2 linked regions of the Pelodiscus sinensis genome follow. The main gene of each other region encodes a partner of the protein of the gene in region 2 in a complex. Links are inferred from orthologs where the notes say so. Each region holds a gene or a part of one and is shown on either strand. Other genes may lie near its edges.

The links. The genes of interacting proteins can lie anywhere in the genome.
Region 1: TERT (region 2) and DKC1 share a complex: the UniProt entries of both Homo sapiens proteins name them as parts of the telomerase holoenzyme complex. The link is inferred for Pelodiscus sinensis from reciprocal best matches to the Homo sapiens genes TERT and DKC1.

What each region holds. Positions count from the first base shown.
Region 1 is NC_134723.1:735,853-745,887, reverse strand, and holds the start of DKC1 (H/ACA ribonucleoprotein complex subunit DKC1), read right to left. Parts: upstream 4,091-10,035; 5' UTR 4,000-4,090; coding exon 3,984-3,999; intron 3,281-3,983; coding exon 3,222-3,280; intron 1-3,221. Other genes in the region: 40-kDa huntingtin-associated protein-like, read right to left, coding at 6,884-7,894.
Region 2 is NC_134712.1:139,864,056-139,874,358, reverse strand, and holds the start of TERT (telomerase reverse transcriptase), read left to right. Parts: upstream 1-5,722; 5' UTR 5,723-6,199; coding exon 6,200-6,436; intron 6,437-10,303. UniProt on the Homo sapiens protein: Telomerase is a ribonucleoprotein enzyme essential for the replication of chromosome termini in most eukaryotes. Active in progenitor and cancer cells. Inactive, or very low activity, in normal somatic cells.

The DNA of each region.
Region 1 (10,035 bases), on a different chromosome or scaffold from region 2:
CTCTTACAAGTTATTGCGAGCATATCTTACATAATTCCCTTCAATGACAGCTACTCCAAAGCAACATAACCACAGCACCATCAACTTGTTGCAAAACGATCATTGTCTAGAAAGGTTATTGCTGCAACAGCAGGTAAAACTAAAAAGTTTGACATAATGGAACATGGCCCCTCAGAACTCCATGGGAAGGAAAAGTACTAAGGATGGCTACACATTTGAATGCAGAATACTTATCCCAGTCTGCTCCCTTCTTTCATGTAAACGCTAGTGAAGTTTCAGTTCCATACCCCTGGGACTGTGCCATTATCAACACCACAGAAAGGAGGCCATTCTCCAAAACACTATGGGGGCTGAATCTCTTTCAACACATTATAAAAAAAGCAAAAGCTAAACTAAGATTATGTCTGCACTAGAACTTTTATCAATCAGAGGTGTAAAAGGAAGCATACCCAAGCCAGCATAAGTTTCACCAATGGAAGCACAGGTGTGGACAGCTGTACCTCGGTAGGAGCTTCTCTCCTACCAACATAGCAACTGCTGTTCACTGGGAGTGGTTTAATTACGTTCCCACTGGCATACAGCAGTTACATGGGAGACCGTACAGCAGCATAGCTGCAGTGGTATAGTCATGCCACTGTAAGGCTTGCAAAGCAGAGACAGTCTTAGTTAAGGAACTTCTCCAATTAAAAACAAAAAAAAGACATGGGTAATCACACGTGTCTTAATGAATGCACACAATTTGAAAGGAAAAAATGCTAGACGTTTCTCTAGACTTCTAGAGAAGAACAAATGGGGTGGAAAAAAAGCCTAAATCCCAATTTAGGACAGCTTTTCTTAAAAAAAAAAAAAAAAAAACTCATTCTAAGCACAAGGTTCTCTGCCTCCTTACTACCAGCTAAACCTGTAGTCAGTTGTAGCACAAATGTCATTCCATTGGATCTTAAACAGCTATTTTAGCCTCAAGAGATTTACATGAATTAACTGCTAATATCTGTTTAGTAGACAGACATTCACAGCCCCCCCCCTCCAGTTTTATTTGTCTATGCACTTAGTGAGTCATTGGACCAAGGAGAGGTGCTGATTCAGGACAAAGACGTCTTCATTCTCCGACATAACACTATCCCACCTCAGGTCCTTGTGTCCCCATGGACAGCATACACCAAAACCAAGGCAAGAAACAACACTACCCTGCCTTCCGTCCTGCTGCTTCTTTCCCCTCCATCCTCCAAATGAAGGCCTAAAATGGCAACCATTTAGGTTACTGTAGCTACATTTACACTACAGCCCAGATGGATGCGCTGAGATTGATGAACTGGTGATCAATTTAGTAGGTCTAGTGAAGACCTGACAAATCAACCGCAGATCACCATTCTAATTCACCCTGTTACTTTACCTGGAAGAGAAGAGTAAGGGAAGTGGATGGGAGAGTTTCTCTTGTCAGCCCCCCATAGAGAAGACCTCAAGGTAACTGGAACTAAGGTATGCGGACTCCAACTGGTAGCTAGAATTGCATAGCTTAAGTCAACTTTCTGTTGTAGTGTGAATAACATTGTTAAAATGAATTTAAGTAATTGTGTAAACGTGAAGAGAGAAGGCTCCCTGCATGTATGGCAGTCCTGGGCAAAATCTGGCCCACGAAGCCACCAGATTCAACCTGCAGAGGCAGCAGGGAGCCCCTGGCAGGCTCCCTTTCTTGCCCCATGCAGAAACAAGGCTGCAGGGCTCCATTTAAAGTTTTAAGAACCGCCCTGCCCTCAGTATATTTCCATTGGCTGGTTTCTAGCAGAAACCAGCCAATGCGAGCTGCTTGTTAGAACAACAGGCAGCTAAGAAGAGTCACGCCCCCTCTCCTAGACCCAGTTCTCCATGAAGCACATGGCCAGGCAGGCAGGCTGGCTGGCTAACATTGTAAGCTCTGCAGGTAGGCAGGCTACTTTGGCAGCTGACAAGTCTCTCAGCCATACCCTGCTTCTGGCACCCTAGCCCTTTCCTGCCCCAACTCTCTCCCCTCTCCCCCAACATACCCAAGCCTTCTGTCCCCCTCTTACACCTATACCCCCTCCCATATCTGGCACCCAACTCCCTCCCAGACTCCAGTCTCCCTCCTGCATCCCAGACCCTTACCCCAAGCGCCCTTCTGCACCCAACCTCCATCCCAGACCCCACATCTCCATTAATACTATGGAAGAATGTGGCCCTCAACCACTTTCCACAATTTTGGGAAGGGCCTCCCTTCAAAAATTATTGCCCACCCCTAGGCTACGTCTAGACTGGCATGATTTTCCGCAAAAGCTTTTAACAGAAAAGTTTTTCCATTAAAAGCATTTGCGGAAAAGAGCGTCTAGATTGGCACAGACACTTTTGTGCAAAAGTACTTTTTGCAGAAAAGCGTCCGTGCCAATCTAGACGCGGTTTTGCGAAGGCGAAAATGGCAATTGGGGCTATCGGGGCTTTTTTGCGCAAAATAGTTTTTAGCTGTCTACACTGGCCGTCCTACGCAAAAGCATTTGCACAAGAGGGCTTTTTCCCGAGCGGGAGCAGCATAGTATTTGTGCAAGAACACCGACGATCTTACATTAGATCGTCAGTGTTCTTGCGCAAATTCAAGTGACCAGTGTAGACAGTTGTCAAGTTTTTCTGCGGAAAAACTTGCCAGTGTAGATGCAGCCCTAGTGTACAGGGCGGCAGGTGGCTCCCTGGGAGCTGATGCACATGGGGAGATGGCTGTTAAGCCGGCTTCCCATGCATATAAGGAGCCTGCATGTAACCATGCGCATTAATTGATGAGCCCAGGCTTATTGGTTAACTGTGCGCATAGATACACTTTTACATCCCTTATTAAAACGGTTAGGGCTTTTCTTCAGTACATGTGCTCTATTTATTGCATCCTTCAGATATGCTAAATCAGTCTCTAAGCACTCTCCCTTCGGCTGGGGCACTGCACCAGGATGAGGAGAGCATCAGCCCCCTCCCCTCGCACCTCAATGCATGGAAGACACCACGTGGCGTGCTGACTTCAGCTAAGGCCGCGCAGCTGGAGCGGGCAATTGTGGAGCGGCCGCGGCCGCAGGGCGAGAGTCCAGACATGGCCCCGAGACACGGTTCTAACCCCCCCCCCCCAAAAGCGGCCGCCCGGCCCGTCAGGCCGACGCCCGAGCCAGGCTGCAGGCCAGCGGGGGGAGGGGCGCCACGAGGAGCCCGCCGGCCCCGCGGAGACTCACCGCGACATCGGCGTCCGCCAGAGACTTCTCCTTCCTCCGCTTGTGCCGCCGCGCGCCCCCTGCGCGGGACAGAGCGGGGGGGTCAGCCCGGGGCGCCGCGCGGAAACCCCCCCGCGGCCTGGAGCCACCGCCCAACGGCCGGGCCCCCTCCCCCGCGGCCCCCGCCCCCCCGAGCCACCGCCCAACGGCCGGGCCCCCCCCCGCGGCCCCGAGCCACCCCCCCGCGGCTCCCGCCCCCCCCCCGAGCCACCCCCCCGCGGCCCCGAGCCACCCCCCCGCGGCCCCCGCCCCCCCGAGCCACCGCCCAACGGCCGGGCCCCCCCCCGCGGCCCTCGCCCCCGCGGCCCCGAGCCACCCCCCCGCGGCCCCCGCCCCCCCCCCGAGCCACCCCCCCGCGGCCCCGAGCCACCCCCCCGCGGCCCCCGCCCCCCCGAGCCACCGCCCAACGGCCGGGCCCCCCCCCGCGGCCCTCGCCCCCGCGGCCCCGAGCCACCCCCCCGCGGCTCCCGCCCCCCCCCCGAGCCACCCCCCCGCGGCCCCGAGCCACCCCCCCGCGGCCGGGCCCCCCCCCCGAGCCACCCCCCCGCGGCCCCGAGCCCCCCCCCCCCCGCAGCCCCCGCCCCCCCGAGCCATCCTCCCGCGGTCCCCGCCCCCCCGAGCCCCCCCCCCCGCAGTCCCCGCCACCCCCGGGGCCCAGAGCCACCGCCCAACGGCCGGGCCCCCGCCGCCCCGACACAGGCCCAGGCCCCCCGTGCCCCTCACCTTCCCCGTCCGCCATCTTCGCCGCTCGCCCCGCCAGCCGCGTGCAGCCGCCACCGCGCGCGCAGAGAGACTGGCGGGCCGCCCCCGTCCCGAGATGCACCGCGCGCGGGCCCGGCCCCGTCACGTGCTCAGGCGCCCGGAGGGGGAGGAGCTGCCGGCCCGCCACGTGACGAATCGGGCCGGGCCCGCGTGAGGCTCAGCCCGCCCCCGCCAGGATCCAGGCGCCCGGAAGCTGTTACAGCTGCGGGCAGCCGGCCCCGCAGAGGCGCACCCCGCCTTCCCGGGGCTCCGACCGCTGGGCCGGGCCCTTGTGCCGTGTAAACGCGGTGCCGAGGGGTTTGCCTTCCACAGAGGCCCGCTAGCATGGCAGGGCCCCCACCCAGCGGGAGGGATCCAGCCAGGAAAGCCCTTCCAAACCGCTTCCAGGCTTGCATGACTGTCTTAGGACTAAGCTTGTTTTGTCCCCTTTGCTGGACACATTCCTCGTTCAGTGGGTGAGTCTTCCACAACGGCAGGGCAGCTGCAACATTGTTCTTGCCCAATTTTATCTGAAAGGTGTAAGATACAGGAGTAGCTCTCTAACATTTGTATCCCTGGTATCGTGCTCTCTGGTACTGCACTTTGTTGCAAGGCTTGAGACTAACACAAACTCAGCTTCAAGACAAAGGAAACTCCATTCTGAGTTCCAGTAGAAAGATGCTTCATTAGTCATACCTCAGCGCATATGCCCATTTCAAAACATTAGTGTAAAGTTCACTCTTATATGCAAAAATCAGTTTACAGGTGCACGTAAAGTAACACACACACAAAATACCCATCCATTTCCAGCACTTTACAGGGACATTCTGTCTCCACTTCCTACTACGAGAAAGGCTTGAAGTATTTTTTTAAGCAGCTTCCAAACAGCCTCACTTTTATTCACACAAAAGACCAGGCACGCCACATAGTTTGAAGTCCAGAAGGTTCAATTTGTGTAAGAATTCAGTGTGCAAAAAGAACAAAATTGTTTCTTTAGGATACATAAATACAGTTAAAGGGAAAGCACAACTAAAGTTGATCCTCTGCTGGAAAACATTCTTTCCAGAAGATGGCCAGCAACATGCTCTTCTCAGGGCAGTTATCAGAGCTATTCTGCATTTTTCATCATGAAAATGCCATACAAACATTATACTTGCACCAGAGATTTGTAAAATGGGAATGCAAATACAAGTAGGAAAGCACACCTACAAAGAATAAACGATTTGTTCAAGACTAGAGTTAATAGTGTGGAACCAGCTTCCAGGCCCAGATTTAGTTCATTAGATCACAGACCGGGTCTACCATCCAATTTTTAATTCTCTTCATCATTAAAATAGAAAAGTTAAGAGTTAAAAACTAATTGTGCTTTACAGAGATCAGTTTTGCCCTCCCCTAGAATGCACACCTTAGCAAGTGTTGCAAAAGCATATCCGAGGACCAAAGTTACGGGTAAGTGTTCCCCCTACACCCATACATTCCTTTTAAACTGCTGTAACAGGCCTGATAAATAGCAAGATAGCATATGTAGCCAATGCCAAAATTAAACACATTCCACACCCACCTTTACTTACTTGTTGAATGAAACCAACAAAGTAGTGAGGCTAATGAGCTACAAGCAGGGACTCCTCCCCACATTTCCTAGGTTGTGGCTGGTGACACATTGAACAGTAATCAGTTTAAGACTATAATATTTACTGAATTATAGTTTAAAGAATGACAAGGCTTCAGGATAGATAGTTTTCTAGAGACACCAATGTATCTACAGCATTACATTAACAGAGCAAGAGCTTGGACGGAGAGCCAGGTAGTTAGAAAATACAAATCTCAGGCAACAGAAACACTGAAACAGAACCCGGACCAGAAGGGACATAACAATACAATTTTAGCTTCTCATTTAGTTTTTAAATGGAAAGAATTATGAGCACTTTAAACAGAAATGGTATTTTTGCTCACATACCTAAAACTACTCTAATTTTTAAACATACAGAAAAAATGCACTAATCATTATATCTACAAATGTGAGACTTTTAAACTAGAAGGCTGAATCCTGGCATTTGGGGACTGTTTGGAAAATGAGTGCCATTTGCAGTCTCTTAATAAAATATGGCAAGAGTCCTGCCTCTTACGAACTTGAGCTGTGATAGCACACAGTTTCTAATGGATCAGGTCATCTCCTGCAATAGGTATATTGAATCTGTGAGTGAGAGGAGTATGGGAGAAGTGCTGGGGCTGAAAAAGGACATTTCTCTATAACCAGAAGTAGTACATAGGAAGTGTTGGCATATCCACATTCCTCAGCCTCAAAGGGAAAATAGTCTCAAGTGGCATTACATAATTCTTGCCTATATGCTGATGGTCACAGGGAGATAGGTGAACTCTGGCTGCACAGTGGTGACAGGCCAAAATGGAACAACCCTGTGTATGGCTGCTGTGGGAAGCAGAACACCATGGTGGATGAAACGAGTCATGCTGGTAGTGATGCTGAGTAGGGCTTAGACTCTGTGGCTAGCAACAGAAAGGTACGACCACTTCCCTGGGGAACCAGGTGGGCTAATCTCTGGATGATTGCTGTAGGTGTATGAAGTTAATTTCTCTGGTGATGTTTGGTGAGTGTTTTGGGCTATATGAGGGAAATAGCAACAGATCAGTGAAGGTGCAGTTAGTCTGTGGAGATGGCAGACAATACAGAGATGCCATAGTGATGGCAGCTGAAGGTGGGCAAAGCCTATCCCGCTGGTGATGCTACTTGGGGACTCAGGAGTCCCACTGAGGCAAAAGCGGGTGGGTGGGGCAGGCCTCTCTTTCAGGTGGGAAACAGACTCCCTATGGAAGTGGCAGCAAGCAAGTGAAGCCAGTCTGGATGTGTGTGGGGGGGGACGGACTCAGGACCCCTGACCAGCAGGACTGATCATCTCTTGCAGCACTAGATGGAGCAGGTGGTTCTGCTCAGGGCTGAGCAGCGGCCAGAGCTCAGCTTGCAACACCTTGAGCGCCTCCAGGTCCTTCTCCTGACAGGCCATGACAGCGGACTGCAGCAGGAGGAAGAGGCCCGGAGGCAAGTACCCCGCCTGGGGGAGCTGCCCGGCCCCCGCCCCGCTCTCGAAGGCCTCCCAACAGTACTTCTCCAGGGTCTGGGCATGCTCCGGCAGTAGCTTGGGTGGCGGTGGCTGGAGCAGCAGCAGCAGCAGCACCCGCGACACCTCGCAGCGCACCAACACCTCCAGGAACGCGCCGCTGGGAGGGCTGGGCCCAGCCTGGGCCAGCAGCTGCGCCTGGGTGAGCACAGCCAGGGCCCCGTCGTAGTCGCGGCTGAGCAGCAAGCAGGAGGCCAGCTCGCCCAGGCAGCGCAGGGCCTCCAGGGGCAGCTGGGCGGCCGCCAGCAGCTCGGCGGCGCGCTGGAACTGCGGGGCGGCCTGGCCGGGCTGCTCCATGTCCCGCAGCGCCGCGCCCAGCTCCAGGCACAGCCCGGCCGCCAGCGCCGGCTGCCCCAGCTCCAGGTGCAGGCGCGCGGCGAAGGCGAAGCAGCTGTGCGCGGCCTGCAGGTGCTCGGCGAAGCCGCCGCTCAGGCCCAGGCGCTGCCGCAGGTCCCGCTCCTGGCGCAGGAAGAGGCGCGCGGCCTCGCTCAGCGCCTGCGCCTCGCCGGGCGCGTGGAAGAGGCTCTGGGCGCAGCGCGCCACGGCCAGCTGGCACCAGGCGGCGTAGGGCAGCGCGTCCTGGGCCCGCAGCTCGCGCGCCAGCGCCGCGAACTGCTCCGCCGCCTCCGACACGTTCGGCTTCCGCAGGAAGCGCCGCCGCAGCTTGGCCGACACCAGCCGGTAGCGCGCCAGGAAGTCCCCGTCCCAGCCGGGGCCGCCCGCCGCCGGGCCCGCGCCCGAGCCGCCCGCCGCCGCCATGCCGCCGGAAGTCGCCCCGGAAGTGACGCCGCAGCCAGAGCGCCAGCGGAAGGGGCGGGGCCCTGCCGGGAAAGGCCGGCTGGGCGCCGAAAGCAGGGGGCGCTAGAGCGCGGCGCGCGGTATGGCCAGTGCTGCAGCCCCGCTCCCCAGCACGAGCGCCTCCTACCGCCGCGCCCAGGCACCGCACCCTGCCCCCCAGCGCCTCCTACCGCCGCGCCCAGGCACCCGCACCCTGCCCCCCAGCGCCTCCTACCGCCGCACCCAGGCACCCGCACCCTGCCCCTGCCCCCCAGCGCCTCCTACCGCCGCGCCCAGGCACCACACCCTGCCCCCCAGCGCCTCCTACCGCCGCGCCCAGGCACCCGCACCCTGCCCCCCAGCGCCTCCTACCGCCGCACCCAGGCACCCGCACCCTGCCCCTGCCCCCCAGCGCCTCCTACCGCCGCGCCCAGGCACCCGCACCCTGCCCCTGCCCCTGCCCCCCAGCGCCTCCTACCGCCGCGCCCAGGCACCCGCACCCTGCCCCCCAGCGCCTCCTACCGCCGCACCCAGGCACCCGCACCCTGCCCCTGCCCCCCAGCGCCTCCTACCGCCGCGCCCAGGCACCCGCACCCTGCCCCCCAGCGCCTCCTACCGCCGCGCCCAGGCACCCGCACCCTGCCCCCCAGCGCCTCCTACCGCCGCGCCCAGGCACCCGCACCCTGCCCCCCAGCGCCTCCTACCGCCGCGCCCAGGCACCCGCACCCTGCCCCCCAGCGCCTCCTACCGCCGCGCCCAGGCACCCGCACCCTGCCCCTGCCCCTGCCCCCCAGCGCCTCCTACCGCCGCGCCCAGGCACCCGCACCCTGCCCCTGCCCCTGCCCCCCAGCGCCTCCTACCGCCGCGCCCAGGCACCCGCACCCTGCCCCTGCCCCTGCCCCCCAGCGCCTCCTACCGCCGCGCCCAGGCACCCGCACCCTGCCCCCCAGCGCCTCCTACCGCCGCGCCCAGGCACCCGCACCCTGCCCCCCAGCGCCTCCTACCGCCGCACCCAGGCACCCGCACCCTGCCCCCCAGCGCCTCCTACCGCCGCGCCCAGGCACCGCACCCTGCCCCTGCCCCCCAGCGCCTCCTACCGCCGCGCCCAGGCACCCGCACCCTGCCCCTGCCCCCCAGCGCCTCCTACCGCCGCGCCCAGGCACCCGCACCCTGCCCCCCAGCGCCTCCTACCGCCGCACCCAGGCACCCGCACCCTGCCCCCCAGCGCCTCCTACCGCCGCGCCCAGGCACCCGCACCCTGCCCCCCAGCGCCTCCTACCGCCGCACCCAGGCACCCGCACCCTGCCCCCCAGCGCCTCCTACCGCCGCGCCCAGGCACCGCACCCTGCCCCTGCCCCCCAGCGCCTCCTACCGCCGCGCCCAGGCACCCGCACCCTGCCCCTGCCCCCCAGCGCCTCCTACCGCCGCGCCCAGGCACCCGCACCCTGCCCCTGCCCCCCAGCGCCTCCTACCGCCGCGCCCAGGCACCCGCACCCTGCCCCTGCCCCCCAGCGCCTCCTACCGCCGCACCCAGGCACCCGCACCCTGCCCCCCAGCGCCTCCTACCGCCGCGCCCAGGCACCCGCACCCTGCCCCTGCCCCTGCCCCCCAGCGCCTCCTACCGCCGCGCCCAGGCACCCGCACCCTGCCCCCCAGCGCCTCCTACCGCCAGGCACCCGCACCCTGCCCCCCAGCGCCTCCTACCGCCGCGCCCAGGCACCGCACCCTGCCCCCCAGCGCCTCCTACCGCCGCGCCCAGGCACCGCACCCTGCCCCCCAGCGCCTCCTACCGCCGCACCCAGGCACCCGCACCCTGCCCCCCAGCGCCTCCTACCGCCGCGCCCAGGCACCGCACCCTGCCCCCCAGCGCCTCCTACCGCCGCACCCAGGCACCCGCACCCTGCCCCTGCCCCCCAGCGCCTCCTACCGCCGCGCCCAGGCACCGCACCCTGCCCCCCAGCGCCTCCTACCGCCGCGCCCAGGCACCCGCACCCTGCCCCCCAGCGCCTCCTACCGCCGCGCCCAGGCACCGCACCCTGCCCCCCAGCGCCTCCTACCGCCGCGCCCAGGCACCCGCACCCTGCCCCCCAGCGCCTCCTACCGCCGCGCCCAGGCACCGCACC
Region 2 (10,303 bases):
ATCTTTCTATCCCAAGTGCAGTACTCTACGCTTGTCCTTGTTGAACCTCATCAAATTTCTTTTTGGCTCAATCCTCTAATCTGTCTAGATCACTCTGGACTCTATCCCTGCCCTCCAGCATATCTACCTCTCCCCCGTGCTTAGTTTCATCCGCAAACTTGCTGAGGGTGTAATCCATCCCCTCATCCAGGTCCATTAATAAAAATGTTGAACAAAACCGGCCCTAGAACTGATTCTTGGGACACTCCTCTAGAAACCGACAGCCAACCTGACATCGAGCCATTAATCACTACCTGTTGGGCCTGACAGTCTAGCCAGCTTTCTATCCATCTTACAGTTCATTTATCCAATCCATATTCCCTTAACTTGCTGGCAAGAATATTGTGGGAGACTATCAACAGCTTTGCTAAAGTCAAGGTATATCACATCCACTGACTTTCCCATATCCACAGTGCCAGTTACCTCATCATAGATGCTAATCAGATTGGTCAGGCATGACTTGCCCTTCGTGAATCCATGTTGACTATTCCTGATCACTTCCCCTCTTCCAAGTGCTTCAAAATGGATTCCGTAAGGATCCCTTCCATGATTTTTCCTGGGACTGAGGTAAGGCTGACTGGACTATAGTTCCCTGGATTGTCCTTCCCTTTTTTTAAAGATAGGCACTACATTTGCCTTTTATTCAATCATCTGGGATCCCTCCCGATTTCCACAAGTTTTCAAAAATAATGGCCAAAGTCTCTGCAATGACATTTGCCAACTTCCTCGGTAACCTCAGATGCATTAAATCTGGACCCATGGATTTGTGTATGTTTAGCTTTTCTAAACAGTTCCTAACCTGTTCTTTCCCCACCAAGGGCTGTCCACCTCCTTCCCATAGTGCATTGCCTAGTGCATTAGTCTGGGAGCTGACCTTGTCTGTGAAGACAGAGGCAAAGAAAGCATCAAGTACTTGAGCTTTTCCAACATCATTTGTCACTAGGTTTCCTCCCTCATCCAGTAAGGGCTCAACACCCTCTCTGATCACTCTTATTGCTAACATGCCTGTAGAAGCTTTTCTTGTTACCCTTCAAATCCCTTGCTAGCTGCAATTCCAGTTGTGCTTTTGCCTTCCCTGCATTCTTGAGCAATATATTTATACTCCTCCCTTGTCATCTGTCCAAGTTTCCACTTCTTGTAAGCTTCCTTTTTGTGTTTAAGCTCACCAAGGATGTCCCCTTTAAGCCAATCTGGTTGCCTACCATATGTGCTTTTCTTACTGTGCATGGGGATGGTTTCTTCCTGTGCCTTTTTAATAAGGCTTCTTTAAAATACTGCCAGCTCTCCTGGACTCCTTTCCCCTTCACATAAGCATCCCAGGGAGTCAAGTATATCTTTTTGTTTTAATAAAAGCACCCTTTTTAAGGTGATGATTTGATTCTTGTGTCCTGGAAGATCATAGGAGGTCTATGTATAGGGTTGCCAGGTGTCCGGTCGGTATTTGTGGCTTTTGTCTGGTTTAAAAAAAAACCCTGAAAATACCAGACATGTAAAATATACGGTATTTTCTGTTTTTCTCGGATTGAAGGCTGCTTGGGACATTCTTCCCCCGCTGTGTCTGGTGGGAGCAGGGGAGTGCAGGAATTCAAAGGGTCCATGACTCTTATTTTTTGGTCTTTTTGGGGGGGTGGGGTTTTTTGTTTTAACTTTTGGTTCTTTCTTTTTTTCTTTTTTGCTCAACCAATTCTTTTCCTGCCATGTTTGGTGTTTTTTGTAAAACACTATATATATGGATGCCTAAGACTGAGGGTCAGCTATCAGAGATTCCAGTTTCTTTTCTCTTTCTGCAAAGCTCTCTTTTGGTAAAATCAGGTCTTCATCACGTGATCCCTCTCCTGTCATCCATTTCCAGATAAACAGAGGCTAGGGACAAGGTTCCTACCCATCCTAGCTAATATGTCCATTGATGGACCTAACCTCCATGAATCTAGCTCTTTTTTTAACCCTGTTAAAATCCTAGTCTTCACCACATCCTCCGGCAAGGAGTTCCACAGATTGTGCACTGAGTAAAGGAAAACTTCCTTTTGTTTGTTTTAAACCTGCTTCCTATTAATTTCATTTGGCGACCCCTAGTTCTTTCATTGTGGGAATAAGTAAATAACTTTTCCTTACTCACTCCTTCTACAACAAAGTAATGATTTTATAGACCTCTATCATATCCCCCCTTAGTCACCTCTTTTCTAAGCTGAAAAGTCCAAGTCTTTTTAATCTCTCTTCACATAGGACCCATTCAAACCCCTAATAATTTTTGTTGCCTTTTTCTGAACCTTTTCCAATGCCCATATTTCTTTTGAGATGAGGCGACCACAGCTGTACTCAGTATTCAAGATGTGGGTGTACCATGGTTTTATATAGAAGCAATAAGATGTTCTCTTTTTTTTTAATGATTCCTAACTTTCTAGTTACTTTTGACTGCCACTGCACACTGAATGTATGTTTTTCAGGGAACTATCCACAATGACTCCAAAGATCTCTCTCTTGAGTAACTGTAGCTAAATTAGTCCCCATCATATTGTATGTATAGTTGGGATTATTTTTTCCAATGTGAATTATTTTACATTTATCAACATTTCATTGCATTTGCCATTTTGTTGCCCAATCACTTAGTGCGGTGAGATCATTTTGAAGCTCTTCACAGTCTGCTTTGGTCTTAACTATCTTGAGCAGTTTGGTATCATATGCAAATTTTGTCACCTCACTGTTTATCCCTTTCTCTAGATCATTTATAAATAAATTGAATAGGATTGGTCCCAGGGCAGACCCTCGGGGGCTCCATTAGTTATCGCTCTCCACTCTGAAATCTTACCATTTATTCCTACCCTTTGTTTCTTGTCTTTTAACCAATTACTAGTCCGGACCTTCCCTCTTATCCCATGACAACTTATTTTACTGAAGAGCCTTTGGTGAGGCTGAGGTATCTTGTCAAAGGCTTTCTGGAAATCTAAGTACACTATATCTACTGGATCCCCTTTGTCCACATGTGTGTTGACCCTCTCAAAGAACTCTAGTAGATTAGTAACGCATTATTTCCCTTCACAGAAACCATGTTGACTTCCCCCAACAAATTATGTTCATCCACGTGTCTGACAATTTCATTTTTTTACTATAGTTTCAACTAATTTGTCTGGTACTGACATTAGATTTTGCCAGGATCACCTCTAGAGCCCTTTTTAAATATTGGCGTCACGTTAGCTATCTTCCAATCATTAGGTACAGAAGGATAGGTTACAAACCAGTTAATAGTTCTGCAATTTCCCATTTGAGTTCTTTCAGAACTCAAGGGTGAATGCCATTTGGTCCTGGTGACTTGTTACTGTTTATCAGATTTTTTCCAAAACCTTTTCTAATGACACCTCAATCTGGGAAAATTCCTCAGATTTGTCACCTAAAAAGAATGGCTCAGGTTTGGGGATCTCTGAATTAAATAATTCATTTAGCTTCTCTGCAATTACTTTAGCATCTTGATCTTCCAGGGACTCAACTGGTTAAGCAGGCTTCCTGCTTCTGATGTACTTAAACATTTTACTATTAGTTTTTAGTTAGCTGTTCTTCAAACTCCGTTTTGGCTTTTCTTATATTTTTACACTTAATTTGACAAAGTTTATGCTCCTTTCTATTTTTCCCACTAGGATTTGACTTCCACTTTTTAAAAGATGTCTATTTCACTGATTCTTTTACTGGTTGTTAAGCCACAGCAACACGTTTTTGGTTCTCTGAGGCTATGTCTACACTGAGTTTAGCCGAAAGAGGCAATGCAAATGAAGCACAGATTAGTATTTTCTCGTGCTTCATTTGCATAATCTTTTCCGAACCGTTTTTGCACAAAAGCAAGCAGGGTGGATGTTTCCTTTTTGTGGAAAAACCCCCTTTTTGCACAAGATCCTTATGCCTCAAAAAAGGAGGTATAAAGATCTTGCGTAAAAAGGAAATGTCCACACTGCTTGTTTTTGCACAAAAACTCCTTGCGCAAAAACGGATCAGAAGATTATGAAAATGAAGCGTGAGAAAATGCTAATCCGCACTTCATTTTGAATTGCCTTTTTCAGCAAAACTCATAGTGTAGACATAGCCTTACTGCGTTTTTTAATTTGGGTTATACTTTTAAGTTGGGCCTGGTGCTATGGTGTCTTTTAAAAGTTTCCATGCAGCTTGCAGAGCTTTTACTTTTATAACTGTACCTTTTAATTTCTGTTTAACCTCCTTGTTTGTGTAGTTCCCCTTTCTGAAATTAAATGCTAGTGTTGGGCTGCTGAGGTATTTTTCCCACCACAGGGATATTATTACATCTGGTGTGGGAGGTCAATATTGTTCTTTGTAGGAAAGTAGCTAGTGAAACCCTAGGACCTGGATAATGCTGTCAATTAATGCATCAGTGCAGGCCTGCTTGGGAATGGACCAATGGGGGCACAGAATGGGCTCTTTCTAGGCTACATCTACACTGGCAGCTTCTTCCACAAGAACTGTTTTGCGGAAGACTTCTTGCACAAAAAGTCTTCCACAAGAGCGTGTCTACACTGGCATGTGTTTCTGTGCAAGAGATGTGCTTTTGCGCAAGAGCATCCATGGCAATGTGGACTTTCTCTTTGCAAGAAAGCTCTGATGGCCATTTTAACCAAAGGGGCTTCTTGCTCAAGAAATTCATGTTGCTTGTCTACACTGGCCTCTTCTGGAAGAGCTCTTGCACAAGAGAGCTTCTTCCTGAGAGGGAGCATCAGAGTTCTCGTGTAAGAAACTCTGATTTCATACAGTAGAACGTCAGTTTACTTGTGCAAGAACACGTGGCCGGGTAGACACAGCCTTAGTGTCTTCTTTTTAGATCCTCTCTCCTTTGTTCAGGCACATTTTTTTTTCAATTAAGAGGCAATAAAGGGGTCCAGGAAAACCTAGACATGTGCTAACCCTAGGTTGTAATAGTACTTGTTCAAGTTCTGCAACTTAGGAGAATCATGCATCATGATTCTGCATTAGCAAAACTCAAGAGAACTGTTCAGCACAGGGTCCCTGTTTCCGCCAGAGTGCTGTGGTACACTGGACAGTGGGAGTTAATGGCCCTGTGTGAACATGACTTTCAGCTCCCACTAATCCATTGGTAAATCACAAGTATAGCACAACACATGGAGCCAGGTGGCAGCCTGAGGCACAATGAGATACTTACGGGTGATGCTGCACCACTGAGGCAATCATTCATGTGTGATGACCACAAATGCCCAAGTAGGCATGTGCGCAAGCCTTACACAAAAGTTGGTGGCTGTACATTGACCTAACATGGGCTAACCAAACCTGGCAGTGTGGCTGCGGGATAACACCACTATTTGGGAATGTCCTGGTTTACATGAACCTGCAGGGAAGTTGAAAAGCATCAGAGGGATAGCGGAGCAGGTCTGTAACTGGAAAAACTTAAGCAAAATGCAGGACAATGTAGCACTTTAAAGACTAACAAGATGGTTTATTAGATGATGAGCTTTCGTGGGTGGGTCTGGCCCACGAAAGCTCATCATCTAATAAACCATCTTGTTAGTCTTTAAAGTGCTACATTGTTCTGCATTTTGCTTCAGCTACCCCAGACTAACACGGCTACATTTCTATCACTGGAAAAACTTAAATAGTCTTGTGGCACCTGTGAGACTAACACCACCTGGAGATGGTACCTGAGCTTTCGTGGGCACAACCTACTTCTTTCACCTGAAGATGTGGGTTATGCCCAGGAAAGCTCATGCTGCCCTCTACATGTTTTGCTGGGCTGCAACCCTACCTCTTACTGTGAGACAAAGAGCTTGTGGGAGCAGTTTACTGCCACACACGCAGCACCTTCCTCCAGCCCAGCCCCTAGCCCGCCCTCCATCTCAGCTCCTGCATAGCGCCCCCCTCCCCTCCCGTTCCAGCTCCTGGGGGCGGGGGGGGGCTCCGGCGCGCGGGGTAAGGGCGGCCCTTCCATGGGGGCTCGTGCAGGCCTTGCGCGCAGTGCGAGCACTTACTGGAGCCGAGGGCACCTGGGGTTTCCTGTTGGACCCGGGCCCGGGGGAGCGCGCCGCGCCCGCAGCTGCTCTCGGCCCGGGGAACGCGCGAGGTGCAGCAGCAGCAGCAGCGGCGGCGGCGGCGGCGGGCGAGGCGCGAGCCTCTCGGAGCCATTAGCGCCGCTGCGCTGCCCGGCTCCAGAAGCATGGCGGGCGCCGGGCCGTTCCGTGCCGTGCTGGCCATGCTGGAGGGCTGCTACGCTGAAGTGCTGGGGCTCGAGCGGTTCGTGCAGAGGCTCCGGGAGGCGGCAGCGTGCGGGCCGGGCCACGCTGAGCTGCTGCAGCAGGGAGACTCCGAGCTGTACCAGGCGTTCGTGGCCCAGTGCGTGGTGTGCGTCCCCCGGGGAGCCAGAGCCATCCCCCAGCCTGTCTCCTTCCAGCAGGTACTTGCGGCGGCGGCGGCGACTGGGGAGGGGGCTGTAGGGCTGGCGTGCCTCACGGGGCACTTGCTGCCTCCATCGCAAGCCTTATGCTTTGGCGGCGCGAATAGTTCCCGGCTGCTTGCCCCGGCTGCGGACTGACCTTGCTTTTGCGGAGCAGAGGCTAGTTCCAGAGCAGGAAGGGGCGCTCCGCTGCCTTTTCTCCTCTTCCCATGGAAAGAGCGAGGCTGCAGTGCCCCGCGCGGGCTGCCTATGCTCGCTCTTCTGTCTCGGTGCTTTCCTCTCGCTTGTCTCCCGCGCCTGGGCTTGCGTGCGAGTTAGAGCCTGCACATTGTCTTGTAAGACAGCAGCCACTCAGATGTTTACTTTTCCGTGTGGGGCCAGGTAATCGCTTGGCCCTGGGGGGGGAGGGAGGGAGCGGGGGGGGGGTCGGGCTGAATCTTAGCTTCTTCTGCCACAAGCCCTGCAGCGGGGTGGTTCTTCCCTCCCCTGATGGTGATGGATGAGCACGTGTCACCAGGCTCCTAGGCTGCAGCTAGATGAGAGTGAGGGTTAAATGTAAGATTACATTCATATGGTTCCATGCCTTTATGTTTTCCTTGTTCGGGTTGGCCCTCCCTGGTCCAAAAAGAGGGAAATTTGCTGGACCAGGAGAGGTTGCCTGCCACCAGCCCTGTCACCCCCCACTGCCTCCACTTCTGCCCTGGCCATCCCCCACTGTCTCTAGCCCAGCTGGGCTGCTGGCCCTTCCCTACTGCAGGTTATGTTTCCACCCTGGCTGCCCCCCTGCCTCTAGCCTGGCCGGGCCATTGGCCCCTGCCTATAGCCTGGCTGGGCACTCTGCCCTGGCCGTCTGGCCCCCAAGCCCTGCCGGCCTCAGTTTTACTGCCACAAGCCCTCCTGCCACGAGACTCCAAGCCCCAGGGCTCTCTGGCACTGAACCACGGATGTTGCCGGACCAAAGTGGCCCAGTTTTGGGAAGTGCAGCCTCTATGCTACCATCAAAACCAGGGACAGGGAACCTCTGGCCTGTGGGCAATTCACCAGGGTTAGCTTGGTGGGCCACCAAATGCATTGTTTTCCTGAGTGTCCACATGGCTGCTCACAGCTCCTAGTGGCTGTAGTTTGACATTCCCAGCCAATAGGAGCTTCAGGAAGCTGTGTCACTGTAACTGCCACTGTGTGGATTTGAACCTGGGATCTCTGACGCGGAGTATAGGAGCCTCTACCTTGGGAGCTAAAAGCCAGCTGGCTCTCAGCCCCAGCTGTAGAGGTCTCTTGAGCTTAACTGTTGCTGTGGTCTAGGTACCACTTGCACTGCTTAGTAACCACATTAGGTGTGTGGGTTACACCACTTCCCGCAGCTCCTATTGGACAGGAACGGTGAACTGTGGCCACTGGAGCTGCGAGTGGCCGTGCCTGCAGACACTCACATAAACAAAGTGCCTGGCGGGCCGCATCTGGCTACCATGCTGGAGGTTCCCCATCCCGGATCTAAACATTGAAAAAGAAACCGTAATTTTTGTTTAATTAGAGCTTGTGATGGATGGAAGGGGTATCCACAAGAGATCTTTTCTAGACATATCAGCCATTCTATTAATTAAATTGCCTGTAAAGGGTTAAACCCAAAGACAGTGGGTCTCCAGGAAGTGTTATCAGGGAGCCAGGAGAGCCAATGGGAAGAGAGTGAGAGATTTGAATTAAAACAGGTTCTGTGATATGGGAGGAACATGACCGCCACCATCTGTTCCTTGCCCTTTGAGGTTACTCCCCTCTGGCCCTTCAATGACATCCATCCTTATTTTCACTGTGCAGCTCTGCCTTGGAGATGAACATCTGGCCCTGATCTCGTTTGGCTGTTTTGTCGAGATTGGTTGCTCCTGGGCTACTCTGCCCAACTGCAAATATGAGCACTAGGCTATTTTCTGGCCCTTCTGTAGCTTCAGTTGCCCTGAAAGCTATAAAAAAAATAATTTGGTTTGGATCACTGGCTTTGCAAGTTGAACTTTCTGTGAGCCTTTTTTCCCCGCAGGCAGTAAAAGAAAAAAAATCCCTAAACTTTCAAATAGTCAAAAGGGGGGGAAAAAGCATCCTTTTAAAATTGAGTTCTGTGTTCCTGGTTCAAAATTATTCCACCTCTGCCACCATGTCAATGCGGTTTCCCACTCTGGCACTTTGAATGCAGTAGGTGGGGACCCACAAGAAATCTTAAAAATACCCTGCCACTAGAGGCTTCTGTGGTTTTTGTTTGTTTGTTTGTTTTTTAACACTTCCCCAAACGTTCCCTGACTTTGGGTGGTACACTGCAACCATCCAAATGCAAAAAACCCTTGAGAGTCCCGGAAGACAATTTCTTCCTGTGGGGTACCCTAGGGCATGTCAACACTGCAGGGCAAAAGTCAAATTCAGATACGCAACTTCAGCTACGCCAATTGCGTAGCTATAGTCAAAATAGCTTAATTTGGCATTTAGTGCTGTCTACGCAGCAGGAAGTCGAAGGAAGAACATTCTTCCTTTACTTCCTTTACTCCTTGCAAAATGAGGGTTACAGGAGCCAGAGTAAGAAGTCCTTTATCTCGACATTATTTCAAAATAATAGCTTGCTGAGTAGACTCACATTTTCTTTTGAAATAACATCAGTTATTCCTAAATAACATTGCTGTGTAGACATATCCTCAAGCTTTTTAACCCTGTGATGCCTATTATATCAATATCCTCCTTTAAAACTAGGCACTCTAGTTCTCCCATTTTACTATTTAGATTTCTAGCATTTGTGTATAAGCACTTTAATAATTTGTGACAAATTATCTGGCTGCCATTTCCTGATGTGTTAGACTCTTTTTCATTTTATTGTGTCTTATCTGATCCGACCCATACTTTCATCCTCTCCTCCTTATTAGAACATAGAGTATCTCTATTAATAGAACCTCCCCAATAGATGTCTCTGATCGATCCATGTGCTCCTCCACACCTGTTGGCTTTCCCCCAGCCCTTAGTTTAAAAACTGCTCTACAATCTTTTTAATGTTAAATGCCAGCTGTCTGGTTCCATTTTGGTTTAGGTGGAGCCCATCGTTCCTGTATAGATGCCCCCATCCCAAAAAGTTTCCTAAGTTCCTAATAGATCTAAACACCTCCTCTCTACACCATCGTCTCATCCATGCATTGAGACTCTGAAGCTTTGCCTGCCTACCTGGCCCTGCACATGGAACTGGAAGCATTTCTGAGAGTGCCACCAAAGAGGTCCTGGATTTCAGTCTTTCCTAGCAGCCTAAATTTGGCCTCCAGAACCTCTCTCCTACCCTTCCCTTTGTCATTGGTACCTACATGTACCACGACCACCGGCCCCTCCCCAGCATTACATATAAGTCTATCTAGATGTCTTGAGAGATCCGCAACCTTCACACCAGTCAGGCAAATCACCATACGGTTCTCCCGGTCATCACAAACCCAAATATCTTATGTTTCTAATGATCGAATCTCCAGTTACTAACACCTGCATTTTCCTAATGACTGGAGTTCCCTCCCCTGGAGGTGTATCCTCAGTGTGAGAGGATTTCATAACATTCATAACAACTGGAAGGAGGGTCCCAACTATGGGATCATTTCCCTCTGCTCCAGTTGAATGTTCTCCTTCCCTGAGCCTTTCATCCTCCTTAGCAGCACAGGGGCTGTCTGACTGTAGGTGGGACAGTTCTACAGTGTCCCGGAAAGCCTCATCTACGTACCTCTTTGCCTCCCTCAGCTCCTCCAGTTCAGCCACCCTAGCCTCCAAAGCCTGTACGTGGTCTCTGAGGGCCAGGAGCTCCTTGCACTGAATGCACACATATGCCACCCGCCCACAGGGCAGGTAATCATACATGCTACATTG